Linked DNA regions of Coturnix japonica. The protein of the gene in region 1 purifies or fractionates together with the protein of each later gene. This does not show direct contact. Links are inferred from orthologs where the notes say so. Each region holds a gene or a part of one and is shown in the gene's direction. Other genes may lie near its edges.

What was found.
Region 2: the proteins of RBBP6 (region 1) and CPSF6 purify together in Homo sapiens (affinity purification with mass spectrometry; 3 studies listed by BioGRID and IntAct, with this or other methods). This does not show direct contact. The link is inferred for Coturnix japonica from reciprocal best matches to the Homo sapiens genes RBBP6 and CPSF6.
Region 3: the proteins of RBBP6 (region 1) and SRPK2 purify together in Homo sapiens (affinity purification with mass spectrometry; 4 studies listed by BioGRID and IntAct, with this or other methods). This does not show direct contact. The link is inferred for Coturnix japonica from reciprocal best matches to the Homo sapiens genes RBBP6 and SRPK2.

The regions. Positions count from the first base shown.
Region 1 is NC_029529.1:6,696,449-6,706,139, forward strand, and holds part of RBBP6 (E3 ubiquitin-protein ligase RBBP6), read left to right. Parts: intron 1-4,338; coding exon 4,339-4,438; intron 4,439-6,912; coding exon 6,913-6,949; intron 6,950-9,691. UniProt on the Homo sapiens protein: E3 ubiquitin-protein ligase which promotes ubiquitination of YBX1, leading to its degradation by the proteasome.
Region 2 is NC_029516.1:32,110,853-32,120,543, forward strand, and holds part of CPSF6 (cleavage and polyadenylation specificity factor subunit 6), read left to right. Parts: intron 1-590; coding exon 591-800; intron 801-2,436; coding exon 2,437-2,540; intron 2,541-3,466; coding exon 3,467-3,612; intron 3,613-4,128; coding exon 4,129-4,302; intron 4,303-4,668; coding exon 4,669-5,173; intron 5,174-6,406; coding exon 6,407-6,499; intron 6,500-7,457; coding exon 7,458-7,573; intron 7,574-7,890; coding exon 7,891-8,044; intron 8,045-9,057; coding exon 9,058-9,247; 3' UTR 9,248-9,252; exon of another isoform or gene 9,253-9,254; intron 9,255-9,383; exon of another isoform or gene 9,384-9,691. UniProt on the Homo sapiens protein: Component of the cleavage factor Im (CFIm) complex that functions as an activator of the pre-mRNA 3'-end cleavage and polyadenylation processing required for the maturation of pre-mRNA into functional mRNAs.
Region 3 is NC_029516.1:12,546,030-12,556,411, reverse strand, and holds the start of SRPK2 (SRSF protein kinase 2), read left to right. Parts: upstream 1-4,282; 5' UTR 4,283-4,392; coding exon 4,393-4,408; intron 4,409-4,544; coding exon 4,545-4,629; intron 4,630-5,168; exon of another isoform or gene 5,169-5,476; intron 5,477-10,382. UniProt on the Homo sapiens protein: Serine/arginine-rich protein-specific kinase which specifically phosphorylates its substrates at serine residues located in regions rich in arginine/serine dipeptides, known as RS domains and is involved in the phosphorylation of SR splicing factors and the regulation of splicing.

The DNA.
Region 1 (9,691 bases):
GCCCTAAAACCTTCTGAATCAAAAGCACTTAAGAGAATGTGCTATACTGCTAATATATATAAATACATTACAATGAGTTACAAGCTAGAAGTGAGTGAGCTGCTCGTGGTGGGATGAATAGTTTTCAGGAGGAGTGGTATCTTAAAATCTTGGAACTGGGATTTTGTATGAGTTCAGTGCTGTAGTTTGTCCTTAGCAGCTTTTCTGGTGCCCATTGTGGTGCCTTCAAACTCATGTTCACTCTGAAATCACATGAGCTCACAGCTGATGTCTGTGTGCTGGGGTGTCTTCAGCAGTTTGCAAACACAGCACTAAAGGTGAGACATTTAAGCAACTTTTAAGCCTTGTCGTTCACTGTACGATTTTATGCTGCAGTGCTAATGCTTTAGTTATACCTCAGTACAACCCTTGGGTTGCTATGCAATACTGGTACATAGAGCTGTCAGAAAGGATGTGGAGTTCCCCGTTGCCCTGGGAGGAGGGTAAGTTATGTACCTAGTCAAGGTCTGGTGTGGAGCTCAGATGCGGTGCTTGTCTGTGTCAGATGCTTTAACTGGCACCAGCAGGTCTGAGATCCATCCTCTTCGTGGGTGTCAGCTGGATTAATATCCCTTTGGCAGATGCTGTGGGCAAGCTCAGCCTGATCCATCTTCACAGTGTCTCCAGCATTGCTTTCACTTTCTCCTCAGTGACACAAGTGGAGCCAACTGAACGCTGAGGCTTTGGGCAGCCTGTGTGCTCAGATCGATGGTTATATGTTAGACTCTGACTCATCTATTCAGGATCACATAAGTGCTCTTATGAAGCACAGCACTTCACAGTAATGATGCAAATGAAAGGTCTGTGAACTATGTGACAGGTGAACTGGCTCATTAAAGAAATAGTATGTCAGGTGAGGTCATCGATACCTATTGTGGTGGATGCTGAAAACCAGAAATAGCTGCCCACTCCATTAATCAGAGTGTTTCAAGGCAATTTTTCAGTGCCAGCTACATAACTTATTTGCTTTTTCCAAAATAAAAATTGTAAGTATTGATTAAAACAGAGTAAAAAATAATTGATAATGAGGGAGCGTATTTTGAAGTGCCAAGGAGAAAAAAGCATCTTCAGGAGTTGCCCTATTTTATTTTTCTTTTAGATTAGACAGTTTTGAATGTTAGTGGTTGGTTTCCTCTCTTACTTTACAGATCCTTCCACCAATAGCACAGTGTCTGATAAGTGAGATATCGAAGCCTAGCAAAGGTCATTTTGCACACAGCCTCATGTTATTGAAGAGCACTTCCTCTCTATGCTGTGCTCAGAAAGATGCAGTGCTGTCAGACTGAAACCAGTGCATTAAAACAGACCATAAAATGCAGTAAGAACTTCTTAGAGTCACTCATTTGTAGTATGCGTAACAGAAATTACTAAAACCATCAGATTTTCAGCATTTTATACTTCTCTTTTTTGCAGAAGGTTACATAAATGAATGTTTTTTCATTTAAACCAGTTATTTTTTGATGTCTACCTCCATACAGTCCTTGAAATGTCTCTTTTGCTTGACCCTATCAAGTATATTATTTTCTTGTAGAACAGATAGCAACTTTTATACTGTTATGTCACTTCTGCTTAATTTGTAGTCCACATTTCCTTTGGTTTTGCAAGTTTTTCAGACTGAGTTCTGCATTTTAATCACAGGTCGGATTGACTAAAGCCTGGTGGCCACTCACTGGCTGGCACCATCAGTAAAGTGACTTTTGAGGAATCAACAATTCATGTACCTCCTGCTTTGTGGAGGATTTCTGTTAGAGCTCTGCTTGTCAAGTGTGAAAAGTGGCCTTGTTGAACATGATGTCACTGCTCTTTTGCAGATGTTCAGTCACATGGTGAAGCAGGGTGTGCAGTGACACTGCTTTGCAGATCCTGGGAGCTGCCAAGTCCCTGCTAGGCAATATTGCTATAGGGGAACAAGCTTGTGCTGGAGATGCCAGCTCAATCTGAGAGCTGTTAGACTGAGCTGGCTTCTGTTAAATTCAGATTGAACAAATGCATTTCAAGGTATTTGAGGAGTAGCTTCAGCTTTCATCCTTTTTTAAAGGAAGTTAAGTTTGTACTTTGCATTGTTTTACTTCGCTTTTAATAAAATTTAATCACCAAAATGCATTCAAGTAGTTAGGATCAAAAAGAAATAAACATACTGCAGCCAATAGATTCCAAGTCCTTTTGCAGATGTAACTCAACTTGTGCACTCAGCTGCAGGTAGTCACTCTTCCCCAGTTCTCTGTCACGCTATTATGGTGACAGAGCAAATGGGATGAAATAAATACCAAATACAAATGTGTCATAAGTGTCCTATGCAGGTAAAGTCTGCTTCACGAGGAGATATTGGTCTTCTGTTGATCAGTTTAAATATGAAAGCACTGATGACATTGGAATTTGCTTTTGTATCACTGCTCCTGGATGGCTGGAACTCTTTTAACATGCAGACTGAAAGCAAGCAGAGCATCTGTGTGCACGTAAGGGCAGCTTATTCCAAGGGCTCCTGTGTTGGTGCTTCTCTTCTAAGGGTCAGTAAATTGTCACAAATGACTAAAAGAAGATTTCTTCACCCTTACAACTTTTGTATGCATTTGGTTTGGCCTCTGCAGGCTTGCATGATTTATGAATAAAGCCATTGTCTGCAGGAGAGAATGGTTTAGACTCAACAGATTTATAATAGGAACAGAAATGAAGCCAGTTTTCACTACAGAAAAACAGATTGTGTATTTAAAAACAAAACGCAGTGTGTTTTTGAAGAGGAAAAGCGGAAGGTCCCAAAGTGTGTCTTCTGTGAATGGCTTTGGCTGTCCTAATTTAGTATTAAATTCAACTTTTTTAGTGTTAGTTTTCTGTTTGTGAGCTAGAAATTTTAAAAAGGAAAAAAAAGGGGGGGGGGGGGGGGCACTTCAAAGGTAATTCCTCATAACATTCATTGCCTGCGGTTCTTTTGCCTGTATTTCTGTATTTACGTTAGCCTAGGTTTTCCTGGATAATTTCCATGTATGTGTAATGCACATTGAGAGGAGTCCTTTCTGTTCCTTTCAGCTGAGGTCCGGACAAATCAGTCAGCTGCTCCCTTGTTCACTGTCTAGGAGAGGTGCAAAAATATGCAGTCTATAGAACTAATAATGTTTGTATTAGGAACAAGCATAGGAAGTTCCTACTTTGTTGAGGAGCCACTGTTGGTTATCCCAGAGCTCTGAAATCTTCATCCAGTGGCTCCTAATCTGAACTTCTCCATTGAGATGTCCTACTGCATGCAGGCCTTTCATGACAGCTTGCTTCGTAATGATTAGATTTTCCTAGAGCTCTACGGGGTGGTTTCAGGATATATAACTAAAGAAAAGCTGCTGTTTTCATAGATGTCATTAGGAATAGTCCTTTCTCGCACAGTTCTAAATGACTGAAATTCAGAGGAAGCTGCTGCTCAATTCCCTTGGGGAAGTTCAGAAATTAGTTTCAGCTGGATGATTTTTCAGTTTTTCAAAGCAGTAATTTATCATCTGGAAATAGGAATAAATCTTTCATTTCAGAGTTGAAATGATACCCTCTGGTCGGTGTGTTTCAGTCTAAATGAAGCTTCTTTTTCTACAAGTAACATGCTGAAAAATGGAGTGCAAGTCATAAAATAGTCTTACTTTGTGTGTGATCACTGGGCAAAACCACAGTGTGAGTGTATGCGTGATGGGTTACACAGAGCCTTTGGTTTGCCAATTAGTTCTGCAAAGCTTAATGGCTTTTTGTATTTAAAACTGTGGGTGGGTTATAGGGAATGGATGCTGACGGTGCTTTAGGATAGTCGTAGTTGGCTTGTAGAAGTTCAGTATAAAAGCCATTCTGATGGAGAGACTTTGGTGTTTCAATCTTATTCAGCATTGAAAGCAATAGCTCAGAGTTGTCACATTTAGTTAAGTCTCTGTCTTATTATTACAGAGCAGGATAACTGGGCTTAAAAATTAGTTTTGTGCTTGTGGGACTGCAGTGGTTTGTTTTTTCTCCCAAAGCCTATTGATATTGTCGCCTAACAGAAGTAAAAGCAACCTACTGTAGAAGGAATGAACCCTGTGCACTCACATACTCTTTCAGTGACCTTTGAGGCCATTTTGCTGTTGGCATCCAGAGTAGCTTAAAGTTGTTGCTTACGTTCGATTATCAAACTTAGTTTTTTTTTGAGTAGACCGTTATTTTAAGGCAGTAAAAGTGCAGATGGTATGTGTATATTTCTGCTTTTCTATCATTAAAAGAGTGCTCTGAAGTGTTATCAGAATGCATGTCAATATATGCTCTTATGACCTTTTTTCTGCGTTTGTGTTTTTTTAGAATACACAGATGATAACGCTCTGATTCCCAAGAATTCATCTGTAATTGTTAGAAGAATCCCTATTGGTGGAGTTAAGGCTACAAGCAAAACATATGTTATGTAAGTATACGTAAAGCACTCTATTCTTTGTGAGATGTTTCTTCACTTTTTGGATTGGCATGAGTTCCTAAAGGCATTCATATTGTATATTTATTTTTAAAGCTGCCATTATTTTTATCTTTGTATTGGGGTGGATTTTTATGCCTGCCAGCAGCAGCGACTTTTGAGGTGGTTCTGTTGGCTTTGTTCTTGGGGCCAATTTTCTGAGACCAAAGACTTTAGATCCCGTTTCCTCTACATGAGGAGATTCCTTATTATATACATTACTCTATTTGACTTTGTGGTAGATCAAAATTTACACTACTATGCCTATTTGTATGTTATTCCCATCTCAGCAGTCTGCTTCTCAGTGTGAAACCTTACTTGCCACATCACTAAGACAAAAATGCAAGATTCTTATGGCCCAAACCTGGTATTTTTGCATGCTAGCAATATAGGATGGAGCAAGGGTTACCAGTTGGTGAGCCATGCAAGTGAGACATGTCATGCATAACTGATTAGATTCCTTAAGACAATAATTGTCTCAAGCAAGTGAAAAAGAACAATACCCTTAAGTTTCTTGCTTTTTGTGTGAGTACCATGGAGGAATAGCTACAGCTTTCCTGACTTTAAACTTGGCAAGTGTGTTAGCATGCTGCCAAATGTTACTATTTAGCTTTCTGATTTTACCTTAATTAAGCTGGTATCTGTGCTCCAGGTTTTCGTCTTAGTATTCTTGGAGAACAGAGAATCACATGTATTTATTATAATTAGACTATGGGATTGTTGCTGTCATTTATTTATTCACAGAATCCAGTTCTGCGTCAGCTGCTAGCATTGTTTGAATGACCCAGTTTTCTGGCCTTCTCAAAGATACCTCTCCAATACAATCAGTAGCTGTTAGTAACTTGTGGTTTTACCTCATCTTTTTAACATTGATTCTCAGCAGATAAAGTTTACTGATGAGTTACAGTTTGTCTTTTCCAAACGCTGCAACAGTACCTTGGTACCCATGAAGCATTTGCAAGCAAAAAGGTTGAATTTACGTGGCCCTGCACATGAACTTCAGTATATTACTGCCATAGTTATTTTTAGCCCTTTCAGACTCTACCTAGTAATTCTGGACCGTATAGCACAGTGCTATAAGTATCACCTTGTCTTGTTGATGCATCCTCCATCTCTGGTTGGATGGCACCCCCTCCTGGTATCATAATGCTGCTCTAAAACTAGTGGACAGATGCAGCTAGTATCAATGATCTAATAAATATATTTATGTGGGGATAAAGGAAGAATTGTGCTGCTGTTTTAATGTTGAAAATTAACCAGGTAGATTAGCTTTCTATTCCTTCACCTGGAAACTCTGCAGAAACAAGTGGCAGAGTGGCTAAGTCTTGGGAATTATGAGCACATGCTCTAATGGCGGAGAGGCCTTTGTAAATGTTTTATTCTTCACGGAGTTTGTTCTTCAAGGTAAACACATAAAGAAACTTCTGCATGGTAATCTATAGTATTTCCATATACCTCCTCATCTTCGGGGTTTGCAGTATCAGCCCCGTGGTTTCCTAGCAGTGGCAGGGAACACAAGCCTGTCCCTGCATATGTCAGTTCCACAGCAGCCTTTAAATCGCTGCTGCTTATGGGACAAGTTCCAATGTTTGAACTGTTTGTGAATTCTGTCAGGGGCTGTGTGTCAGATTCAGGAGCAGTGTGTGGAATCTCAGCAAGTTGTCAAACATAAGAAATATTTCCTAAAGTATTGTAGAATTTTCAAGATTATTTTTAAAGCAAATTCTGGCAATTAAGACCGTTTTTTTTGTCACAGGACTCCTAAATCGCACAAAATCGTAGAAACTCCTTTCAGGTGACATTTCTACTACTATTTTCAGTCAATATAGCATAGATAACAAGTTCTAATATTTTGGCAATTTCATAGCTGAATATAGCAGATATCTGAACACAGTGCTTGGGCTTCCACAAACAAACACTGTTCTAAAGACTCCAAAGCAGAGATTTTTGTTATTGTCAGATGACTGACTATGAAATTACTTTTTGTTCACTTGAGTATATTTGCACTTCAGAGTATCTGGACTGTAAGTTCTCTTTTTCTATCAGCCCACTCATTGTAACGCTGGGGATATACAGATTGGCTAAAGCCGGCTTCATGCTTAGAATGTTATTGAAGAACACAAAGCCATAGTACAGATGTCATGTTTTTTTGCTGCTTACATAGCAGAGACAAAATGCTTGAGGATTTCTGCTTGCGTTGTTATATATCTGTAAATATATCAGATATATCTGTAAGTCTTAAAATCATATTTAACAGAGTAGAAATGTGGTTTTTTTTCATTGTACTGAATGTACAGAGGGAGAAGAGTTTGTTTAAATGTCTAATTTCACTGGACTTTCAGAATGTGATTTTTCAATGCTCAGGTTGTATAATCTCTTTGTACAAGTGCTTTTCCTTAAATTCTGATCACCTCTATTTCTTCTTCTAGAAGTCGAACTGAACCAGTGAGTGGAACATCAAAAGCAGTATGTAAAAACACAATCTCACACTTTCTTTTTCTACACACTGCACTTAATTATAAACCATGTAGTCTTACATTAATTTTCCAATTATTAACTTAATATCTTTTCAATCAAAACATAGTCTATGTTGTAAATACAATGTATTTGATTCAGAGTAGTAAAAACTGAGTAATGATATCATTTGCACAGTTCTAATGTGAATCTTGGTATTTGTGCCTAGTAATGCATTGTATTTCATATTGAACGTGCTAGAATATTCCCTGTATGACTTTTTGTTGTACAGATACTGTATGATCGTTTTAGATCGTGTAGGTTTGAGGTTTGCACAATTGAACATGGTGCCATGTTCTACATCTGTCTGTCTATAGCTAGTGATATGTATGTTTGTATAGGTTGTTGTGTGCTTTTTGTTCCTTGCAATAAAAATGTTTGGAGTGTATTTTTTTGCCATTTTCACATTGTATCACTTAGTTTTTGTTTTTAAATACCTTTTTTTGCCTAATGGTTTTTGAAAATGTTATCAAAAACCACTGAGAAACCATTATTGTTAAACTGGGTATTGTTTCTTACTTTTGACCTGGGGGTTCAAACAAATACCAAAACCAACATATCCCGTGCATTTTCTGAGGACGTTTCTGTGCAGCTAAATAATTCCTTTTCAAGTCCTTAAACACTTGAGTGTTTGCTCCTCAAACTGTAATTGAAGTGATATTGTTTGGGCCCCTCTGAGTACACGAATGTCTTGAAAAATCAACTTGAATTTGAGTATCATTGAATATCATTGCTACAAAGTGGTATTCTAAAGCTCTGCATTCGGACTTTTCACTTTATCTAATGAAACAGTTGAATAGTTTAAGTGAAAATGTCTAAAACGTGGTATACAAACTTCAGCACAAGGATAGAGCCTGGTGCGTTTGTGGCTAAAGTCTGTGTCAGCTTTCTGAACTTTCCTTCGTAGTGTATTTTTGAATCTGGGTGACCTCAGGGTTGGATGCTGCTTTAATTTCCCAAAGGTTAAGCCTCTCTTTAGTATACCACCATTTTGGATTTACATTTGGAAAAGGGGAAGTGTTTTTTGTCAGGCTTGAAAACACACTGTTACTCTGTTGCTAAAATATAGATAAGTACACAAGGAAATACTTGATTGGGAATGACCTAAATATTGATTTGCCACTTGGGTCAAATATTATGTATTATTCTGAATTTCAATATAGTCCGTACAGTATTAAAATTATTGTTTGGTGGTTTTTATTTTTCATCTTTAAGTATAACTGCTTTTTCTTCACCAGAATGGTGTGAGGCATTACACTAACCCTGGATCATTGGATCTGATCACTTTGAGTTGTTAGGATAACATAACATAGAAATCCATAAACCCAGTGTCTGTGTTCTATCAAGAATACAGCCTCTGGTTCTCACGGAATGGTTCACAATCAACTTCAGATCAAAACCTTTTTGTATGTAGGCCTAAAAAGACTTTAAGTCTGAATCTGACATCTGTAATTCAATCCCTGATTGGTTTGAATTCCTTTTGTGACATAAATACCTCTCATTATGAGTTCAAGTTAGCTTAACTGGGCCAGTGACCCTAGTAGTTAATGTAATGCATTTGCGTAAACCACGTTTAAGTATTTGATCTAATTCAGATGGCTTTTTATTTCTTGGTAACAGTTATTTTTCTTTTTGTTTACTAGCATGTGTATAAACACAAACCACATGTTCATAAATAAAGTTAACCTTCTTTTAGCCTTGTGTGTTCCCTGGCATGTCTGTATTGCATTCTTAAGTAGCATCTTATCATAAGCTAACGTAGATATCTCAAAAAAAGAAAAAAGGGTATCTGGAGTGTGTTGGGGGGGGATTAGTGTTAGTTAGGACTAATTAAAGTAAATGGAAGACAAAGCAAAAACCTTTCCCTCTTGTTTGCTCTGACTGCGCCCGGTTTGGGCTGTGGATGGGCATAGAGAGAGTGGAAACTCCCTGCATGTATATATATATATGTATATGCAGATATAAAAATAAAAGATTACTTTAAAATCACTGCATTGTCAGGGGCTTCTAGAGTTGGAAGCCCAGTGAGATTCGCTTCTAAAGGCAGCTCAGATCTTTGTCTAATGAGTATTTTCTTTTTATTTGAAGTAAATACAGAAACAAACAACCCAGGATGCACAAAAGCTTGAAGCATATTTTTTTCATTGTTTCTCTTTCATGATAGCTGTCCTGCTTCAAAATGTGTGTTGTTACGTTGTTAATACAGCTGAATCAAGGCAGTAGGTTATTTTGTTCTAGCATTAGCATTTCAGGAACTGCCAGAATCACTGTTTGGCGTTTATCCTTAGAGGCTGCAGAAATGCACAGTTCTGTCCTGTATTTTAGGGCCATGAAATACAGCTGCAATTCTTCCTTGCTGAATTTGCAGTTCATCTAAGTTTTGAGGTTTTAGACAACAGCTGTAGCTTAGCTCTAGCGTTCCAGCAGCAAGATTAGCCTTTTCCCTGTTTTCTGTCCCCTTTTCTCTCTGTTACCTTTTGTTTAGTCTTCTGTAGGAATTGAGAGTTAATGCATCTGACTGGTAACTCTGTAGGTTTCCCCCCCCCCCCTAGTTCTCCTGCAGTAGCACCTTAAGGCTGTGCACAGCATTCCTGGAGGTGTTTCTGCTTGACTCATTGGATGGCCTGGCAGGAATTAGTTTAGCCAAAATATAATGGGGGGAAAAAAAAATAGACAAGAGTGCAGGATCTTTGG
Region 2 (9,691 bases), on another chromosome or scaffold:
CTGGCTTGATGTTGTTGAATAGTTCCTTTGTAGCCCAGGAATAAATAAATGTGTAATGCACACAAACCCAACAGTTTATTAAATTTAATGACATAGAGTTCCATTCTTTCTCTCCATGAACAAGGAGATAAAAATCAAATTAGGAATGCAGAAGAAATCTGAAATACAGAATTTCATATCAATTCAGACCACTTTGGGTTTGATTTTTTCCTTCTACCAAATATTTTCATGACAAAAATCACTAGCTGCTATTAGCCTGTTGCTTTGCACATTGTTCATACTTGCTCACATCCGTAGTTGTGGGAATAGAGCTCGCGTTTTTTAGTTTCCTGCTTATATTACAAGGTAAATAGTGTTTCAGTACATAGCAGTTGCTGGAGCTGTGTTTTTGTTTTTATCAGTTCGACATGTGGTAGAAGATGTAAGGATTTTATATATTTAAATATGGATGAAGTCGGGGCTTACTTTTCATTACGGATGTTGTGTAGGTGTTGGGCCAAACTGTCTGTGGAAAGTGGCAGTTGTCGGACTATTTTGTTTCTGAGAAGTGTTTAATGTTAAATATAACCGAGGTGCTTCATGTATTTTAGGAAGCTGAATATGGTGGGCATGATCAGATTGATTTGTATGATGACGTAATCTCTCCATCTGCGAATAATGGAGATGCCCCAGAAGATCGTGACTACATGGATTCTCTCCCACCTTCAGTTGGAGACGATGTAGGTAAAGGAGCTGCACCAAATGTTGTCTACACGTATACTGGAAAGAGAATTGCCTTGTACATTGGAAACCTTACTTGGGTGAGTATCTTATTCCTACCCAGGTGTAGGAAAATTGCCAATGTGATTCTTCGTGAAATCTAAAGGACTGTCTTTTCAGAGAATATAATGAAGGAGGGGAATAAGATATCGAATATCTCATACTTGGAGATACTTTAAAACTATTAAACAAACCCAGTTTTAAGTGAGCCCTTACTGAAGGTTTTAGACCAAGAAGAAAACAAGGTTATCTGGGATTTTCTTACTTTTTTTTTTGCCTTTTTCTTGTTTCCTTTTTGATTCTTGGAACAAAGCTGTTTTCATTTGCCTTGAAGCTTTTATCTGCATTCCTGGGAGTAACATCTCTGGGGTAACTCACTGAGCCACCATTTCCCTTCTGATAATTCCTTTAGTCAGCATTAATGTATTTTAAAATCGATTGTAGTTAAACAACAGAAGTGCAAGTAGTTCTGCAACAGCTAAATTAACTGGAATTGGTTTGTCTTTACCTGAAATCCATTTCATTGAGTTCATGCAAGCAAAATCCTCCTTGATGTTCTTTTTTTTTTTCCTTCTGAATAAGTTTTTGCTAGGTGGAAGCTTGGGAAAGAATGCCTTATGCATTCTTAATGTTTTTCATTACTTAGTATACTAACCTAATTTCAGTAGCTAATGGCTAAGTGAAGGGAGTTCATTGACTTAACCGTTGTACCTCTCTAAAATACAGGAATGCAATCAGCTGAGCTCATCCAAGTCAAATGTCACAATTAAAGTAGATAAGCCAATGTGCAGTAATTTGTACCCGTTACTCGTCATCTGGCGTTGCAAATGAAGTTACCCACTAAAAGCAGACTTAACTCGTTTGAGCGTTACTATCGTATTTATTTTCTTTGTGTTTAGATCTCAGCAAAGTAATTTATTAATCTTTTAAAGAAGTCTTGATTTGAGGAAGGTCAGTAAGTAATTCAGGATCTTGAAAGCCTGCTTTGTACTTCCCACATAGAATTTAAAGTGGTGATGGAGTTACAGGAAGAGGAAGAAAACTATGGGTATAAATGTCTTGTATGCTTCCGAGTATGTGTGAAATTGTTGAATGTTAGATAGGAGCTAATAGAAAGTTGCAGGAAGGAGGTCTGGTTAAGATGGAATAGTTGTTACTATGTTTTCTGTGCTAGTTTCTCATTTTTAATCTGAAAATATTGTTATTTTTTGTGCAAAATATTATGTGGTTTACTAGGCTCTCACTAGTTAAAGCTGTTGGAGTGAGCATATGTGCTAATGTGGTCTTAAAATGGATTTTTGGTTTGGAAATAGAATCAATGGGAGGGGAAAAAAAGGATGTAAAAAAATGTGGCAGTTATTTCAATAGTTCAGTTTAGGCTTAATACTCTTGGGAAAAGCGCTTTCAGAAAGTTACTCAGGAATTTTTTCAGTACCCATGAGCTGGTTTACTGTGTGGAGCTGTGGGGCCTGGACAGCATGGCCTGTGAGGAAGTGAGTACTTAAAAAAATGAGTTTTCTGGGCATTGTATAGTGTAGGTGAAGGTCCTCTGAGAGTCAGAAAATACCAACAACTTGTATAAAGCATTCCTCTTCACCACTTATACCTCGAAGTAAGAGCGTGGAAAAGTGCTGTCGTTTTAGGTAAGATTTCATAGTTGAATATTATATTTTTCAGTGGACGACAGATGAAGACTTAACTGAAGCGGTTCATTCATTAGGGGTAAATGATATTTTGGAGATAAAGTTTTTTGAAAACCGTGCTAATGGCCAATCTAAAGGGTAAGATCTCTTCTGCTTTTTCTGTAAGTCGACTGAAGTTTAGGAGGGTCTAAGTGGGGAAAGAGTTCCAATTATTCTGTCAGTATGTGAACTTATGGCCTCTGTTTATCAATATCCAACAATGATTGGGTATATTAATTCATGCTAATTAAATTCCAGGCATAAATTTTATGGGAATATTACTTCATACTTCTTAATGAGTTAAATTTTATTGGCATTTACACTGGAACAGGTTGTTGAAGGAGGCTGTGGATGCCCCATCCCTGGAGGCATTCAAGGCCAGGCTGGATGTGGCTCTGGGCAGCCTGGTCTGGGACCCTGCACATAGCAGGGGGTTGAAATGAGTTGATCATTGTGGTCTTTTTCAACCCAGGCCATTCTATGATTCTGTGATATATGTGAAGACTCTATTCCTAAGTTTCAGTTAGTGTTGTGGTGATGTATGTTGTTCATAATATAAATTTTTCCTATCCTATCCCTGTTATTGAATGATTTTAAATGCTTGTTTTTCCATTAACTGCTGAAAGCAAGCACTTGAGCTGGTTCCTTGCTGACAGTCTAATCTTCCTAACATAATTTTGTCTTCATCTCTCATCATTACTAATGAGAGTAGCCACGAGAACACATTGAATTCTTAATAACAACTTGGTTATAATAATCAATAGATAGCATATTGATGCTGTGTCAGAAAGCTACCTTTGTTACACTGCTGCATCTTGGACTTACATTGTGGTTTTTCATCTGTGTCCTAGAGTGAATTACTTTATCTATCTCTAAAAGAAAAGATCTCTAAGATTTGTGGAAGATTCTGTATTTTCTTTTCAAGCATTCTTTTGCTCACTGTGTTAAGTGTTTATTCATGAGGCATCAGGATATCCAGGAAACAAAAAAACTGCAGTGTAACTGTTTTTTTTTCTTCCTTTCAGGTTTGCCCTTGTGGGTGTGGGATCGGAAGCATCCTCCAAAAAGTTGATGGATTTGTTGCCTAAAAGAGAACTGCATGGGCAGAATCCTGTTGTGACTCCTTGTAATAAACAATTTCTGAGTCAGTTTGAAATGCAGTCAAGGAAAAGTAAGTCTCTCTCTTGTGCCATCTTGGAAAGATTGGAAGTTTATTCCGGAAGTTGTCCTGCAGTTCTTCTCTCAGTATCTGATAATTTCTGCACAGTTAAAGATTTCTATATAAGTATTAAGTGAATGAAGTTGCAGCTTTGTTTTAAAAAAATTAAGTAGAAGATCCCCTTAAAAACTGAAAACAAAACAGTTAATTCAATGTGTTTTTATGTCTGTGGTTTTAATAGGAGAAATTGCTGGAAGTGCTTATTATGCAGCTTTGTAAGACTCTTCTTAAGATTGGAGAAGTAGAGGTGCAGCATTTGTAGGCAGATTAGACTAACTTAATGGACTGAGTTTCTACACTTCCATTCTTGTGGTGTGGGGATACTGAAATGCTGCTGAATCTTAGCAAAGTGTTTTTTCCTTTGTGGTACTGGGGATCAAGGTGATGCTTTAGTGCTACATAAAACTTTAGAAGAATTGAAAAGCTTTAAACTATTTTGATTTACATAATGACATTTTTCCACTGCAGCCACACAGTCTGGCCAGATGTCTGGGGAAGGTAAAGCTGGTCCTCCAGGAGGAAGCTCAAGAGCAGCATTTCCACCTAGTAATAGAGGGCGAGGCCGTTTCCCAGGTGCCATTCCAGGTGGAGACAGATTCCCTGGACCAGCAGGGCCAGGAGGGCCACCACCACCGTTCCCAGGTAAAATACTGAATGTGGAGGGTTTCAGTTTAATTTTTATTTTCTTTTATTAATGCAGTATGCTTATTTGGGAATTACAAAAATTAAGGTCAGTAAGCAGGCACATAGAATTACCAAAAACTTGAAGTGGTTGGTTCTGTTTTCAGGTTAATGTTCTCTTTCAGTATAGATAACCAGTTATAAATATATCTAAGATACTGGACCCAAAAGTGGAGCTCTGCATGTGTTGTGCAAGATGTGAATTGTTCAGTGAAGGCTTTTTGTCTGAGGAAAAAAAAAAAAAAAAAAGGACAAGATCTTAATTATTTTTGTGACTCTTTTATTTCTTCATGTTTATTAACTTTTTATTTATTTATTTTTTTGTAGCTGGACAAACTCCCCCACGTCCACCCTTAGGCCCTCCTGGTCCACCAGGCCCACCAGGCCCCCCACCTCCTGGTCAGGTCCTCCCACCTCCTTTAGCTGGACCTCCTAATCGTGGTGACCGCCCACCACCACCAGTTCTGTTTCCAGGACAGCCTTTTGGTCAGCCTCCTCTTGGGCCACTTCCTCCAGGCCCTCCACCTCCAGTTCCAGGCTATGGGCCGCCACCGGGTCCGCCACCACCTCAGCAGGGTCCACCTCCACCTCCGGGTCCATTTCCCCCTCGTCCACCCGGCCCTCTCGGGCCACCCCTGACTCTCGCTCCTCCTCCACATCTCCCCGGGCCACCTCCAGGTGCTCCACCTCCTGCACCACATGTGAACCCAGCTTTCTTCCCCCCACCTGCCAATAGTGGCATACCTACTTCAGACAGCCGTGGCCCACCTCCAACAGATCCATATGGCCGACCTCCACCATATGACAGAGGTGACTATGGGCCACCTGGAAGGTGAGTATTTTTGGTGTTATATGCCGTATGGCAGACTTTATTCCTTGTAGGAAACACAGGATTTTTTAAAAACTTTTTAATGCAAATGTTAGAAAAAGTAAACAAGGGGGAAAAAGCAAAACAAAACAGCAAAGCTGGAGGGGATCCCTGCAATCATGAGATTTGCCCGTTCGCTTCTTAGTGAATGAACTCATAAGTGTGTTTGTAGCAGTAAGAAAACCTTAAAATGCATTGCTAGTAATCTTGCTTTCCCTTTTCGGCTTTGAACTGTTTGTGTACATTGTTCACAGTATCATCATTCTGTGTGTTCTACATGCTAACTTATATCACTTCCTGCCAGTAGCTTCTGGTTGTGCTGCTGTCATAACTTGAAATTCTCACTTGTCCCTTTGCCATCTTGCTTTGCAAGCTGTCATTGTAAAATGCTCTGGTGTTCTCTTTGAATATGTGCATGTGTTGAGGATGGTGCCACACCAAGCTCATGTCATTTTCATCTTCTAGCAGTTCGGCTTGTTCCTTTTTTCTTAAGGGTTCAATTAAAAGTTAGCTTTTGTCTCAAAAGCTGAGTGGGAATTTATTGCAAGACTTTTGTTTTGCTTTCCTGTTAAGCTACTTGTAATTTTGTACAGTCTTTCTGTGTTTGTAGCAGTGGCCTTTTCTGTAGTTAATCCAGTCTGGGTCGGGGTTTTTGAGTCCCTCTGACTTGACTAGTGAAGCGTTTCACATCTTGTTTGAAACAGCTTTTGCATTTGTGCTTTCAAGCATCTGTCATGCCGCTGTTGTCTTCATTTTCAACATACTTTCACCATTCCTTAGAACTTTTGGGGTCTAATTTTAAGAGAGATACCTTCTACGCAGTTACGTGTGAATTTTTCATTTGTGATTTTACTGATATTGTTGAGAGAGTCTTCTCTTGCCTAAAGTGTTTCCTGCAAAGGCACTTTGATTCTTCCTTTTACATGTGAGCACAAAGTTGAAAAAAACCCCAACAATTGTACATACTGTGTTCCTATAGAAGTTGTAGAAATTCAAGCATTTGGCTTAATTGCCTGAGATATAATAAGGTGCTTTGTGTTTTTTGATGGACAAAATCTAAGTTGTCTGCAGTTTACAGAATGGCTGGGGAGGGAAGGAATGGGGATAGGACAGAATAACTTCTGTCCACTATTTTCAATAAAAATGTTAAGACTATCATCCATAACTATTTAAATTGTCATTAATTATATATCATAGGCGTTTCACTGGAAATAACATGTCCATAAGAGAAAAATTACATATTCCATTCTATGGGAGGCACACGAAAAATAATACTCAAAACTCAGGGAGGTATGAATTTTTAGACATTTCCTCTTATGCTAAACTGGCTATAGGATCTTGTTCCACTTCTTGCACTTAAGAGGATAGTATTGCTTGTTATTCTGCGTTTTCTTTCTACCAGAGGAACTAACACTGTTTTAGAAATATCAAGCAGTGGGTCAATTTGACAGTCTCAGCTTTTGTCTCTAATGCATTTCTTCAGATATTCTATATGATTCAGAGACTGGCTAATAAAACACTGCAAAACTTGTGGGTAATTTTTTGTATGAGTAAATTTTGTTACTTTAGAATCAATGTATAGGATAGCTAATAGTCAGAGTTAAAAAGTATAGTGAGTGCAAGTATTCATTTTAATTGCTTCCTCCTTACTGTGATTGGGAGATGAAATTGGTGCACCTTGAACTTGACCAGAAACAAAACCTAGAATTAACTGTAAAATGTTGGTGTCATTCAGAAAATTGAGTGTTTTAATGATGACAGACTTTATTTGCTTTTTAAAAATTACAGCCCTCTGGTCTTAGTTAAGAATCTGGGAAACAGGATCATATAGTTCTATTTCCAAGACTGTCTTAAGGAGATTTCTAATTTTGCTGAAAGTTGCATTACCCGTGTATGTGTATCTCTGCATCCATTCAGCTGGTGTAATGTCTGCTTAGATACCTTGAAGGATTTTATGAAAATGTTAAATATTTGTAAAGCACGGTTTAAGTGCTGCTGAATCTTCAAACTAGATTGGTAGAACAAGAAAAACTACTCATTTAGCAGATGTGATAATTTTTTTTTTAACTTATTATTTTCAAGCTTTCAGGATTTTATACTGTAACATGGTCCTTAACACAAACCCAGATCCTGCTTTCTTTTCTGTTTGTCATTTTGCTTAAAGTTGCAAACTTGGATTGTTAAAATTGCAATGATATTCTGTTAAGGTTTTCTTAACCTTGTAAATACTAATTTTTCTTGCTTACAGAGAGATGGATGCTGCAAGGACACCTCTAAGTGAAGCAGAATTTGAAGAAATCATGAACAGAAATAGGGCAATCTCGAGCAGTGCCATTTCAAGAGCTGTATCAGATGCCAGTGCTGGTTAGTAAAACTTGCTTTCTATTCTGCCTAAGCAAAAAGAGTTTCTAGTTATTGTGTTAGGAAACCTGCAGCCTTCATGCCACTTCCTTCTAGAATGCTGAATTTAGGTACGACCTATGACTCTTTTTGTACTGTAACCCAGCTGACGTTTGGGAATGCCTTCTGAGTACTGATCTGGGCAGTGTTATAATGTTTAGTCCTCTAGTAAATGATTTGGGAGGCTATTGAAAGAAAGCATTCCGAATTGTATTATTATTACAGATAAAAACCTTTGTATTAATTGGCATAATTTTCTCGTGATTTTATATTGTTTTCAGGGGACTATGGAAGTGCTATAGAGACCCTGGTAACTGCAATTTCCTTAATTAAACAGTCCAAAGTATCTGCTGATGATCGTTGTAAAGTACTTATTAGCTCTCTTCAAGACTGCCTTCATGGAATCGAATCCAAGTCCTATGGTTCTGGATCCAGGTAAAACTTTCCTCTTCCATTTGCCCTTCTGTGAAAGGGAAGGTGTGGGGCAAGACAAGTGTACAGAGGAGGAGCTAAGTCATGTGAGAACCTTAGTGATTTGCTCAGCTGCACAAGAAGTTTGTGAGAGAAACAAATATAACTTTTGAGTCTAAATAATCTGTTAATTGACTCTTGTTTTTAAAGTGGATCCAGCTAGCTTTTTAACTTATTGTAGTTTGTGTTCTTTTCTATATGGTAGTATTGCAAAAAAATGAACTTCAGAATTGAATTATCTTCATCAATTCAGATGTCATATGTCTGGTATACTATATACAACATATAATTTTAATCACTATTTTCTATTGAAAATTAAGTCAGAGGTTATTTATTATCAGTTTCATTTTGCTTCATAGTAACTTTCTCCTCACCTGTCACACTTGGCAAGGGAAAGAGGATGGCCGGAATGATTTTTCCTCTTATTCCTTCTCATGCAGTCAAAAAACTGAGAATAGGTTTAAAATGCACAGTCTTCTACTTACTGATTATTTACAGCCCTTTCAGAGTTGCAACAGCCACTGAACCTCTAACTTCTGATTTATTTGGATATTGTAGGAGTAGAGTAGCTGATGCTGAGTAATAAAAACACAGGTAGCTAACCTTGGCCCACACTTTCAGAAAGCCAATGAGCAGCCATGTTGTAGGGATCATTTGAGGCACAGTACATTGTCCAGCTGATCTTAGCTGTCTTCCATTCTGAATGTGTAATTTCTGACTTCTCCCTGGTTTGAAAGTAGGTGGCATCTTAATATCTGTTAGCTGTTCTTAGCCACCACCCCAGCCATCTTCCATGTTATACAAAAAATGTCTCTGCACTGTGATGCAGAGCAATTTTTTTCATGTCTGAGGAGATATTTCTCTCATGTCTTTTTTTGGTCCAGTTCATACCAATCAACAGCATACAAAACTGGCGTGTGGGTGGCTTGTGTTTTGGGGAGGGAAAAAAATAAAAGTAATGAAGTAATTTTCTTTAGAAGACGTGAACGATCCAGGGAGAGGGACCACAGTAGGTCACGAGAAAAAAGTAGACGCCATAAATCACGTAGCAGAGATCGTCACGATGACTATTATCGGGAAAGAAGCCGAGAAAGAGAGAGACATCGTGATCGTGATAGAGATCGTGACCGAGAACGAGACAGAGAGAGAGAATATCGCCATCGCTAAAGAAGGTGAGCGTTTGTTTTTTGTTTACTGTTACTGAGTAACTGAAGTTACTGCTCTAGATTTGGGATTGTTTACTCAATGAATGCTTGCATTTCAATGGCCCTGCAGTATATAATAAATTACTTTCTTCTTTTAGCATCTGAAATGAACTTAGGTAAGTAATGACAGGTAACTGGCCTTGGGAGGGAGAATTGATGTGATTTCTTCTGCAGCTGGCGTGCCTTTTTAATTTTAGATGGTAGTAATGTTTGCAATTTTTGTCAAGTGCAGTTGAATTAATTCTTAACGAGCAGTAAGCCAGGCTGGTAATTCTGCTCTCTTATAATCCTAAAAGGTTTGTGTTTGTGTTTTTCATTTGTATTATAAAAGAAAAAAAAGTCTACTGCAGCAATTAGACCCTTGTATATCATGTAAGTATTACTTCAATGTAGGGAACACAAGTAC
Region 3 (10,382 bases), on another chromosome or scaffold:
TAAGACCTATCAAAATCTGAAATTTGTCCAAATTATGAGACTTTGTAGAATGGCATTTCATGAGTTTGATAGAGACATATGAGACATGTATCCCATGTTCAAATAAATCTCTCGTGCATGACTAGATTGTGTAGATGCCATTCAGAGAGAAATAGTAGGCATGAACCCAAACTACACTGTAGAAGATTCTTCCCTATAATTGCTTATGTTGTGTTTGGTAAGGAAGCTGAGCGCAGTCACTAATCTTTCAGTGATCCTCTCATCCCTTGCTGACATTTAATCAGCATGAAAGAAGAAACCATCTGATTTAAACAGAAAAAAAAAAATGGCAAGAGATTGGAGCAAGAAAATGAGGGAGGTTGAGATGGGAAGGGCAAGCTGGGTAAAGAGTTGGCAACCAGGAGGAGTGGGGGCTAATGAGGAAATTTAAGGCAGGGAACAGGAGAAGTTTAACTAAAGGGTATTTGGGAGCCTGCTTTACGTAATGGAAGAAGGAAGGACTCAGAGAATCATTCCAGAAATCTGAGTATTTCAACACTAGATTGACTAAATGTAGAATAGATATTATCATAAAAATATTGCTACAGTCTATTTTAATCCTGTTTCAGGTCTGAGTTAAGTCATGCCAGTTCATGCCCTATTTTACTCTAGTACAACACGTATCTGGGTTGAAACAGCTATTTCTGGGCGTAGGTAAGTATGTAGCTTGATGTCAAATTGGTGTTAAACCGGTCTGCTTTGAACTTATTTTTCTTCTTTCATTAATAATCCCAATATACTCAATAAACAAGAATTCTCTACCAGTGTTAACTCTGCAACTGGCACACACTCATACACCCCACCATTTTACAGGTGAAGAAAATCAGTCAGGTGAGTTGTGTGATTTGCTGTAGGGATGGCGGGCGCAATGAATCAGCCCATGAGCCAGGAATGTAAATTCAGGAGTTTCTGACCTCTTGCTTTTATTTTTCTTTTTCTAGAAATTCCAACTCTCGCTTCCTGCTGTATTTTTATCCAGATTCAGTACAAAGATAACAATCCTGCTTTTCTTGTTTAATGCGTTCATTGCTCCAACTGTTGATTGAAGTTATATGCAAGCTGCGATGAGCCAACAGTCCTCCCATCTTTAGAAGCAAATACAGCTTACTAGTCACTGTTGGTGAATACTTCTTATCTGTAAATTTGTTTTCTGTGTTGCTCAAAGCCAAGCTAAGAGTTGTTCTCTTTACTTTGTCTGCATCCCAGAGGGGGAAAAGAAGTAGAAAAACAGCACATTGGCGGCCAGAAAATTCTTAAAGTGAACAAAAGGACAGACTCATTGTTAGTATGCACACACGAGTGCATCACACTTACAGAAATGTGGAATGGGGGTGGGAACTGTAGGAACAAGAGACAAACATGAAAGGCGAGAGGATGAGAAGGCTGGACTTGCATGTTAATCAGAACTCTCATTTAACTGGGAATTTCCTATCTCTATAGTGCTCTTTTTTCCACAGTGCATTGAGGTTTTTTCTCCCTTTGACTTATGTGTTATTTCTTATCTGTTCCATTCTGTGCAAAAGCAGCACACAATTAGTTAATATCCTGATTTCTGGGCAGGTGCGATTCAGACAGCACGCTACCCAAAAAGTAATGCTGAAAAGAATCAGGGCAAAAGCTTCCGACATCCTTCTGCTGAAGGAAGAGCTTTGAGTTATTCTCAGAAAGCAGAACTATCGTGTTTTCAGGATGGCTCCTATTCTGCACAAATGTGATCCACTCATACCCGAGAAGTAAATGTCTTCTTGTATAAGAGGGATATTTCAAAGCTGAATGAAAAGGAAACAAACCAAATATCTATGGGGTGTCAAATGTCTGATGCAAATGACACTAAAAAAAGGTTTTACCTTTTTTTAAACACCATTCCATGATTTAATATTTTTCCTTCGCCCTTCCCAATGCTTGCACCTAAGAAGACCTAAATCTGTTGTTCTTCTTTTCTGGGTAGGCCACATCGCCTAAATCCCATCTTGCCCTACCCCACTGTGCATGAGGCCCACAGTAATCCTTGTAATAGAACAGACACCTGTTCCGATATTGTGTTCAACGAGAGACAGCCAGAAAGAACGGCTTTCTGCCCTAGGTCACCATTCTTAATTCATTTTATAAATGCATTATTTTACTTTTAAGTGCATATTCTCTCTTGCTTCATCCTTTATTTTTGAAAAAGGTGATTTACAGGCAGTAAGACGCATATTAAGATAAGGATGGAGAAAATCACACAATAAATGGGCTCAAATAAACATAATTCAGTGTAGGTCCACTTGTAACAACGTCTTGAATTCTTTCTGCAATTTTCTGCTTACAGTTTGGGTGGTCAGGGAGGTACATTCTGCAGATTCTGAGGAATACTGCTTCTTTTCCTTTGTGAAATACACTGAGCTTCTTCTTACTTTACTCTCCAGTTTATTTAATTGCACTTGGTAATCCTCTCAATATATACATACAGAGGCTCGTTGGATTTCCACACTCCTGCCTGAGCATTATCTGAGGGGCTTTTCAGGAAAAAAAAGAACAAAAATCAGTAAAAATACAGTCATAAAATATGTGCCCATTGAATAGAATGAGATCGACTGTGTGGAATACACCCACCTGGTCCTACCATAATCCCTTCTCTGTGTGCTAACAGATTGTTCCCAAGCCCTGATTATGTTGCTGACATTATGCTCATGGGGGAAATTCCTTCCCGACTCCAGATTTGGTGAATTTTTAACCCTGCTGATGTAAGCAAAGCACACTGTAGTTATCTAAGGCCCAATTTTCCAATCAGTTCTACATACAAATCTCCTGCTGAGGTAAACAGAATTGTACACGAGTAGATGAGAAAAAGATTGAGACCCTAATACGATTTCTGCTTTACAGCTAAACCTAAGAGATAACTTTAAGCCAGCACTGCTGAAAATAATAAAACCAGTCTCACCACCCTTTTCTCCATCATCAGCTACTTGTTTCTACCATCATCCGTACAGGCACAAGTATTCACACATGGGCACAGCCAAACCAATGCAATTAAAATTAGCCTAAAAGCAAAGGGTAGGTATATAACCTTCTTTCCAATATTCAACTACCATTAGTTTTAATGCATCTATACTTTTTGAGGAGGAAGGCTTCTAAATTTCAGTATAGTCTTCAGTTGCTTTATCACTATCACTAAAAGTCTGACCACAGAAAGGGAGATGTGTAATGTACCAACACTGCATGGTACCCAAGTAGTATATTGTGTTGGCATACATTTTTTGGTCTTCCTTTATGATGGAGGATGGAAAACAGATTTTGTTTTTATTTAACTTAGAAATGCAGCAGTGGTGCTTCATGTTGGCAGCAGAGAGCTGAAGATTAGGACTTCATGGTCCTATTGTTTTCTGTTCACTGGGCTCTCCAGCCAGACAAAAAAGGCATTATATATTGTGGTCTGCCCTCTCTGAGTTGTCTGGCTTTGTATTTCTCTTCCTGTCCCATCCCTGCACTGAATTCACCATTCGATTTTCTGTCTAGTTGAAATCTCTATGATCCAATTACTTAAGATGCCTGATTCCTGCTTCCCTTCACTCTCATAAGACCCTGACTACAGTTCTTTGGAGATCTTCATCCTCGCAGATTTATTTTGCCGTTTAGGGAGGCAGCTCTGTTGAAATTTAGTGGCTGCTCGCTGTTAGCTCTTGTTACTGTGCCTTTCAATTCCAGTCCCACGTGAAGATAAGCGAGGAGATGCAGAAGCCTCACGCTCACACTGGATCATACTCTGCATCAAACATCATCACAGAGTGTGACTGCACCAAATTTCAGAGTCTCAAAAATTGAGCAGCTCAGAAATAAGTGCCACATTTCAACAGGTCAGATCTGAGCGGAACCTGGTATGGTCAGCACCACGACACCGCACTGCTGTCCAGGTCTGCACGAAGAAATACAACGCGGAGCCGTTCCTGGTGATAAATAGCGAGAATCAGAACGGAGGACACTTCACTTCCTTGGATTTGCCGTGATGTTAATTGCTTCTGGCACCTGACCCCGGGCTCACCATAAGCCAAAGCCGACACAGCTCCGGGCAGACACACGACGTCCAACACACGACGTCCCACACACAATACACAGCCCCTCCCTCCTCCCCTCAGGTGCTCTCCCTCCACCTGCCGCCCCGCCCCCTCCTTTCCGGCCGCAGCTCCGCCAGCAGCGCCGCGCCTGCGCACTGTGCGGCTCGGAGCGGGGCTGCCGCTGCTGCCGGCCGGTGCCCGGAGCGAGGAGGCGGCGAGCGGGAGGGGGCGGGGTGTGGCCGGGCAGGGCCGGACACGGCCGGGCTGGGCTGGGCCACACGGGAGCGGCGGCGGCGCGGGCCCCAAGGGAGCGTGAGGCTCCATGAACTCGCGCAAAGGTACCGAGACGGGAAGCGGGGGGTGGGAGCGGGGGGCAGCGCGGCCACCCGGACAAACACCCTAACAACACCCTAACAACACCCTAACAACACCCTAACAACCTAACACCGGCATCGGTTGTTCTCCTCCCGGCAGTGCTGGCCCTGCAGGCCCGCAGGAGGCGGCCGAAGCAGCCCGCGGCGGCCGGTAGGAGGGACAAGCACCCGCCGCAACACAAAAAGTGAGTACGGAACAGTACGGAACGGGACGGGACGGGACGGAGCCTCCCTGCCCGCGGCTGCTCCCCGCCCCGTAACGTCCCGCCCGCTCCGCTCGGCTCCGCTCCCGGCTCCGGGCTCGACCCCCTCGCCCCGTGTGTCAGGCTGCGGGCGGCCCGCAGTGCCGGTACCGCGGGACCATCGCTGCCTGCGGGTGCGCCCTGCCCTGGAAATGGGGGCTCGGCATCTGCACACCTCGCACGGACTGGCGCTGGTCTATGTTTCCTGTCTCTCCTCTCCTGTCTCCGCCGAACCCTTTGCGTTCCTGTCATCCTCCACCTGCTCTCATTCTCTGATACGGCTTTTAGCGTGTGCTCGGGAACGCTCGCACATCTCCGTAGTGCTGCACTGCCCAGGTGCTGCTGCTCGTATCCCTGGTTGGTATCTGCTCCCCGTAGGATCGCACGCTTCTTTCTCTGGCTTTAACCGTACTTTGCGCAGCGAGGCCCTATTGGTGACCCAATGCGTGCGACCTCATCTCTTGGCTTTGCTTTTGTTTCACCTGTTTTGCTTCCCAGTGTTCATAGACCTCTCAGACCCGGGGAGCTGGCTGTGATGGGTGGGCATCTTTGGGATGGGTAAAACCCCAGTAGGATGGAATTCCATGACAGCGATCGTTGGTCTTTAACTGTTATCTTTCACATACATCCTGTTCTGCCAGTGCTTTTTTGTCCACTGGTGCTTTCATTTGTGTGAAGCTGGAATTGCTCCACTGGAATTAAACCTGGTGCACAGGAGGCACAGTGTAATGGGATTGGTTCCATTTCCCAACACCTTTCGGGGTGTCGGTTTGTAACATTACGTACACTTCTTTTGCCACTTAGAAGACACAAATATCTCCTACCTTATAGGAGCTGTAGGCTCAGGATTGCATTTGCAGCTTTTGGATGAGTCTTAACCACAAGATTATTAATTTCTGTTTTGGTTTGATGATTGCATTTAGTGCTCTTTTATTATTATTTTAAACCAGGGCTGCCTTGGGATGTCTTGCTGAATTAGTTTGTCACAAGTTTGCGTTCACAGCCACGTTGGAGAGCACGGAGCTGGCTCTCTTTTAGTCAGAAGAAACTGGCTGCTGCTTTGTCAGGGAGCACGGCCGGCTGCTGGACGGCTGCCATCCTGAGTCGGCAGTTCCAGATGCAGCGGCCCAGTCTGTTCAGTTGCCTTGGGAAACAGTGGTTTTGCTGTGGCAGACAGCGGAGCTGTTGCTTCTTTTTTGCTATGTTTTTCTTTTTTTGTTCTTCAGACTGCTCTTGTATTACCGAGACCTGCTCTGGTCTATGTTCCTTGGGAAATGTCTTGCGAGAATTCAAGTCTCCTACGCAAGTGAAACAGTTTAGGACCCCAAAGTAAAGTGAGAAGAAAAACGCTGACAGAAGTGTCAGGTTTGTTCAGTTCTTAGCCTTGCTTTAAATCCAACTGCTGGGGCACGTCCTGGTGTGCTGGAGCTGCAGTTGTCTGATACACACCAAAGGCACCGGAGCTGCAAATGAAAATGTTTTGGGGGTGGAAATTCTGTAACATCAGTTCCTAGCAGTGAATTACATAATAATGAATTACTCGGTTTCAAACCAAAAGCAGGGTTTTTTGTGGTTTATTTATTTATTTTATAACTGTCATTCTTAGGCATGCCCTTCTCTGTTGGGTTGTAGCTTTATAGAGCAACTTCCATTGTTGCTGGTAACAATGTGCTTCAAAGAAGCTGCAGGATTCCTCCTCTAGAACTGGCAAGGGGAGCTCCATCACATTGTAACTTACTTGCAGGCTTTTGTTTGGATGGTTTTAGGATGATGGCACAAGAAGAAGCAAAAATTGCAGTGCTCTTTGATGCTGAATGGCCTATTGTCTGTTATGACCTTGATTGCCTTGGAGGGCTGTGAAATCAGTCCTGGGGCTGCTCAGCATTGACCCTGAAGTCAGTGGTGAGAGCTGGTGGAGGTGAACCCAGATTGCTTTTGTAATAGAGTGGAAAAAGTGAGAGTAGAAGGTAAATGACTTAATATTTTGAAGAGAAATTTGTCTTGATTCAAGACGATATCTAAAACTATGCATAGTAATAGAAATTATAGATTAGAGACCTGGGGATTCACTGACCACCTGAAACTTAAGGAGAGCGAGCACTGAGTTCTGCATGTGGAATGGAGTATGTGGGTATCCTAAATGTACGTCCTATCCCAGGGTGGATACATTTAAGAAGTCTTCTCAATGTTGGTTTTAGTTGTTTATTCAAAATGTCACATTAGTAGGATTGCTGCTCTTGTCTCCTTTCTTGATAATCTTTTGCCTTCTTGCTAAGAACACTTTAATTGGAACTTAACCTTCCTGTTCCTATCAAATTTTCCATGATTAAGCCAACTGTACCACAGGGCTGCAGCTGTCTGTATATCATGGTTGCTTGTCCACTTATCATATGTAGGCCTTGGGTATTTAACATTGTGCTTTCTTAAAGAGAGCAGCATTCAGAAAGATCTGTCTGAAAGAAACAAAGTTGATTTTAGTTATCTAGATATAATGCTAACAATTTTTAATTTTTTTAAAGAATGGTTCCATAGATTGATTATAGAAACTTAAGATGTGACGTGTTTGAACTTGAGTAGCTGAGTCAATCTAATGTTCCTCTTTGTAATGTGATAATAAAACAGATACCAGACTTTTTGTGAAATCCGATGGAATCTAAAGTAGGTGTTGATGTAAAGTTGCACGTGTGTATTACTAAACTAAGTATGTTCATTCATTTTTGAACTCCTGATGTAACGTACAAAGAAAACATCACACATCTCTAGTAAATCTGATTTCTGAAATGGGAACGGCTCCAGAGTTCCTCATGTGTTGAAAAGATCCATTTGCAGAGTTGTGCATTAAAAGTAGTTATCGTCATATAAGCCTCAGCACATCCGTTATCTTACAGATGTCAAGATTCGTGCCTTTTTGAATAAGCAATGACTGCACAACATGAGACTTTAATCTCATTTGTCATAATTATATTTGATGAAATAACATTTCTATTGAATAAAAAGAGTGTAGTTCAGCACAAAGCTATTAAACAAGAATGCCTTAGTTGGGAAGGGAAATTGACTGGATTTTCTGTTTTGGATTGTATTCAGATGAGTGGTTAGGGTGTAATTTCATAACAGAGGACAGGGCCGCTCCTTCTGTAGCTCGTTTTTGTTTTGTTTAACTTTTACTTACTGTATATAGAGTAGGATGGTAATAAATTTTATGGCGAGTCCTGGATGTGGATTTTGAAATAGAACGTCTTCCTTTTTTTATTATGATGAATACAGCCTGAAAGTTATTGGTTTCTATTTTTAACCTGAAGTTTGGAGATATATGGCAATTTTTAGTGCACAAATGAGAATGTCACATTGTATCATAAGTTTAATTTGGTTTGACAAAAATATTATGGTAGTGCACTGTTTAGTTTTGGATAACCTAAATTCTTTCCTTTGTGTTAGCGTGCGAGAATTCACTCCTTATGCTTGGCTTCTTGATGGTGTCCTAAATATCCTGTTCGGCCATTTTAACAATTTATTGTGTGGGGAGGGGAGAAGGGGTTGGAGGATGCACAAACTATTCTTTCTGGTAGCCACAGATTATCTTGGCATAGGACATAAGTAAAACTTGGAAAGAAACATGTTCTCACAGCTGTGCTAAATATGCAGCTCTTTTGTTGCTGTCGTACAGTATGATGTTTCTCAGTTCAAGTTAGTATTCAATCTCAGGCATTTTCTGCAATAGAAACTGTTGCAGAAGTATGTGTGTCTAGCAAAGCTAGATATTCCATTAAAGCAGAAATGAAAACACTGAATGAAATCATTGCATCAGATCCAATGATTTCAGTTTCCTCACTTAGAGGAGAAGTGCTGGTCCTGCTGAGGAGGTATCTGCGTTATTAATTTATTCTTTAGGATTTTGTATTTAAAGGTGATTTTTGTTCTAAGTTTCATTTATGTTTTTCAAGGGTTGCTGTCTTCAGTGTTGTGTTTTCAGAGAGCAAGCTAGAAGCAGTCTTAACTAATGAACCATGGGGCAGCAGCGCAGACTACATAGGCTGCTTGTAACCATACCTGTACTTGGAGTGTATTCACTGCATGCTGGGCTATTTGCCTTTGTAAAGTCTGCAGTAAAAGAGTAAATCTGTATAAGAGTAAATCTGTTGAAAACTGTTCTTCTTTGGTCTCTGGCCGTCATTGCCTAAGAGGAGGACAGTGTGCTGTAAAACTTACGTAGCTTCCTTTTCCTGCTCCTCCTTGAAAGTGAATATGCTACTAGAATTTAAAATCATCTGCTGTATGGAGTTTGTATGTGTACACAAACACGTGTACAAAATAATGTGTGTGAAACTTTAAAACTCTTCTAGTCCTTCTTTGAAGGAAGCCTGGGTCAAGGTATGGATGAGGAAGACTAGGTAGTTGGTGTCAGGGAGTTAGAAAAGTTTAATGCTTCCTCAAATGCTTGTTATGCTTAGACAAAATCATCGCTGTGACAACTAAGTTGTTTTTATTAGGAGCATCATCCATCAGATAGTTTCTGTGCACATAGGTTCTGTTGGCTGACCCAAGGCTCCCTGTATGCCTCTGTGGGGTCCTGTGTGAGAATGACTATATATTCTCAAAGTTGGAGGCAGTCTTGTATCTACCCCTCAGTTGTAATGTGTTCAAGTGCTGTGAGTGTAAATGTTGACTTCAAAGACACTGTTAGGTGCCTCTTCGTGCTTGTTGACACAGGCCTGCCCCAAAAAAGCTCTCACAAGCTCTCACTTTTCCCTTGAAGAACACTTTTGTGTCGTACATTACAATTTTTGTAGTGCTTTAAAGCTTTCTCAAATTCAGAAATAAAACAGTGAATCCCTTCTGCTGATAGAGGTGTCATCCCCCATGGAAAGGATCTGAAGTATGATTTTATGCTTTTCTTAAGCAGTGCACGTAGCTGTAGGTTCCTCAAAAGTCTTCAGCGCATAATGTACTTCTAACATGAGCATGAGACAGTCTTTTACATCCTGAAGTGTTGAATTGTATTGAGAGAAATGCTGCTAAATGGGGCTGGTCAATGAAAACTGGTTTTGGCTCTGTGTGGTTCTCAGGGCGGTAGTTTTCTGTCCTGGATTGTGTGATTTAAAACCAAGATGATAATTTGGTTTCAGAATTTAAGAGCTGTATCAACAGAGGGCTGTGTATTTTTCTGTTTTTGGTCTTGGAATGGTTCAGTGAAGACTGTCAGAGAAGGCAGTGCTCATTTGTATGTTGCTTTTAGAGAGGACTAGGAGAGATTCAGAAGGATAGTACCCCAAGCTATGCCAAGATCCAATGAAAGCAGGTGAGCTGATCTCAGTCCTGTACAGAAAGGAGAAATGAATAGGATGGTTAATGATGAAAACATAGTTCTGTAGCAGTTGGACTCATAATCACTTCATTTTCTTTATGGGTACAGTTGTAATTCTGTCCAACTCATACCTTTGTAACATAGCCTACATTATAATAAGTAATAACTGATTCTGTTTCAATGTGAAGAATTGGGGCCCTGTTTTGTTGGGCAGTTTAAAAACGGAAGAAAAGATTTGAAGAAAAAAATTGTCTTTACGCTTCTCAGTGTTCATATGTTTAAAATTCCATTGGCTTTCCTGTATTTGAAATGATAATCATCACTTTATGTTTTTTCTGTCTGTACCTTTTTGTTTTTATGACTCTCACCTTTGCTTTCTTATTTCTCCCTTTTA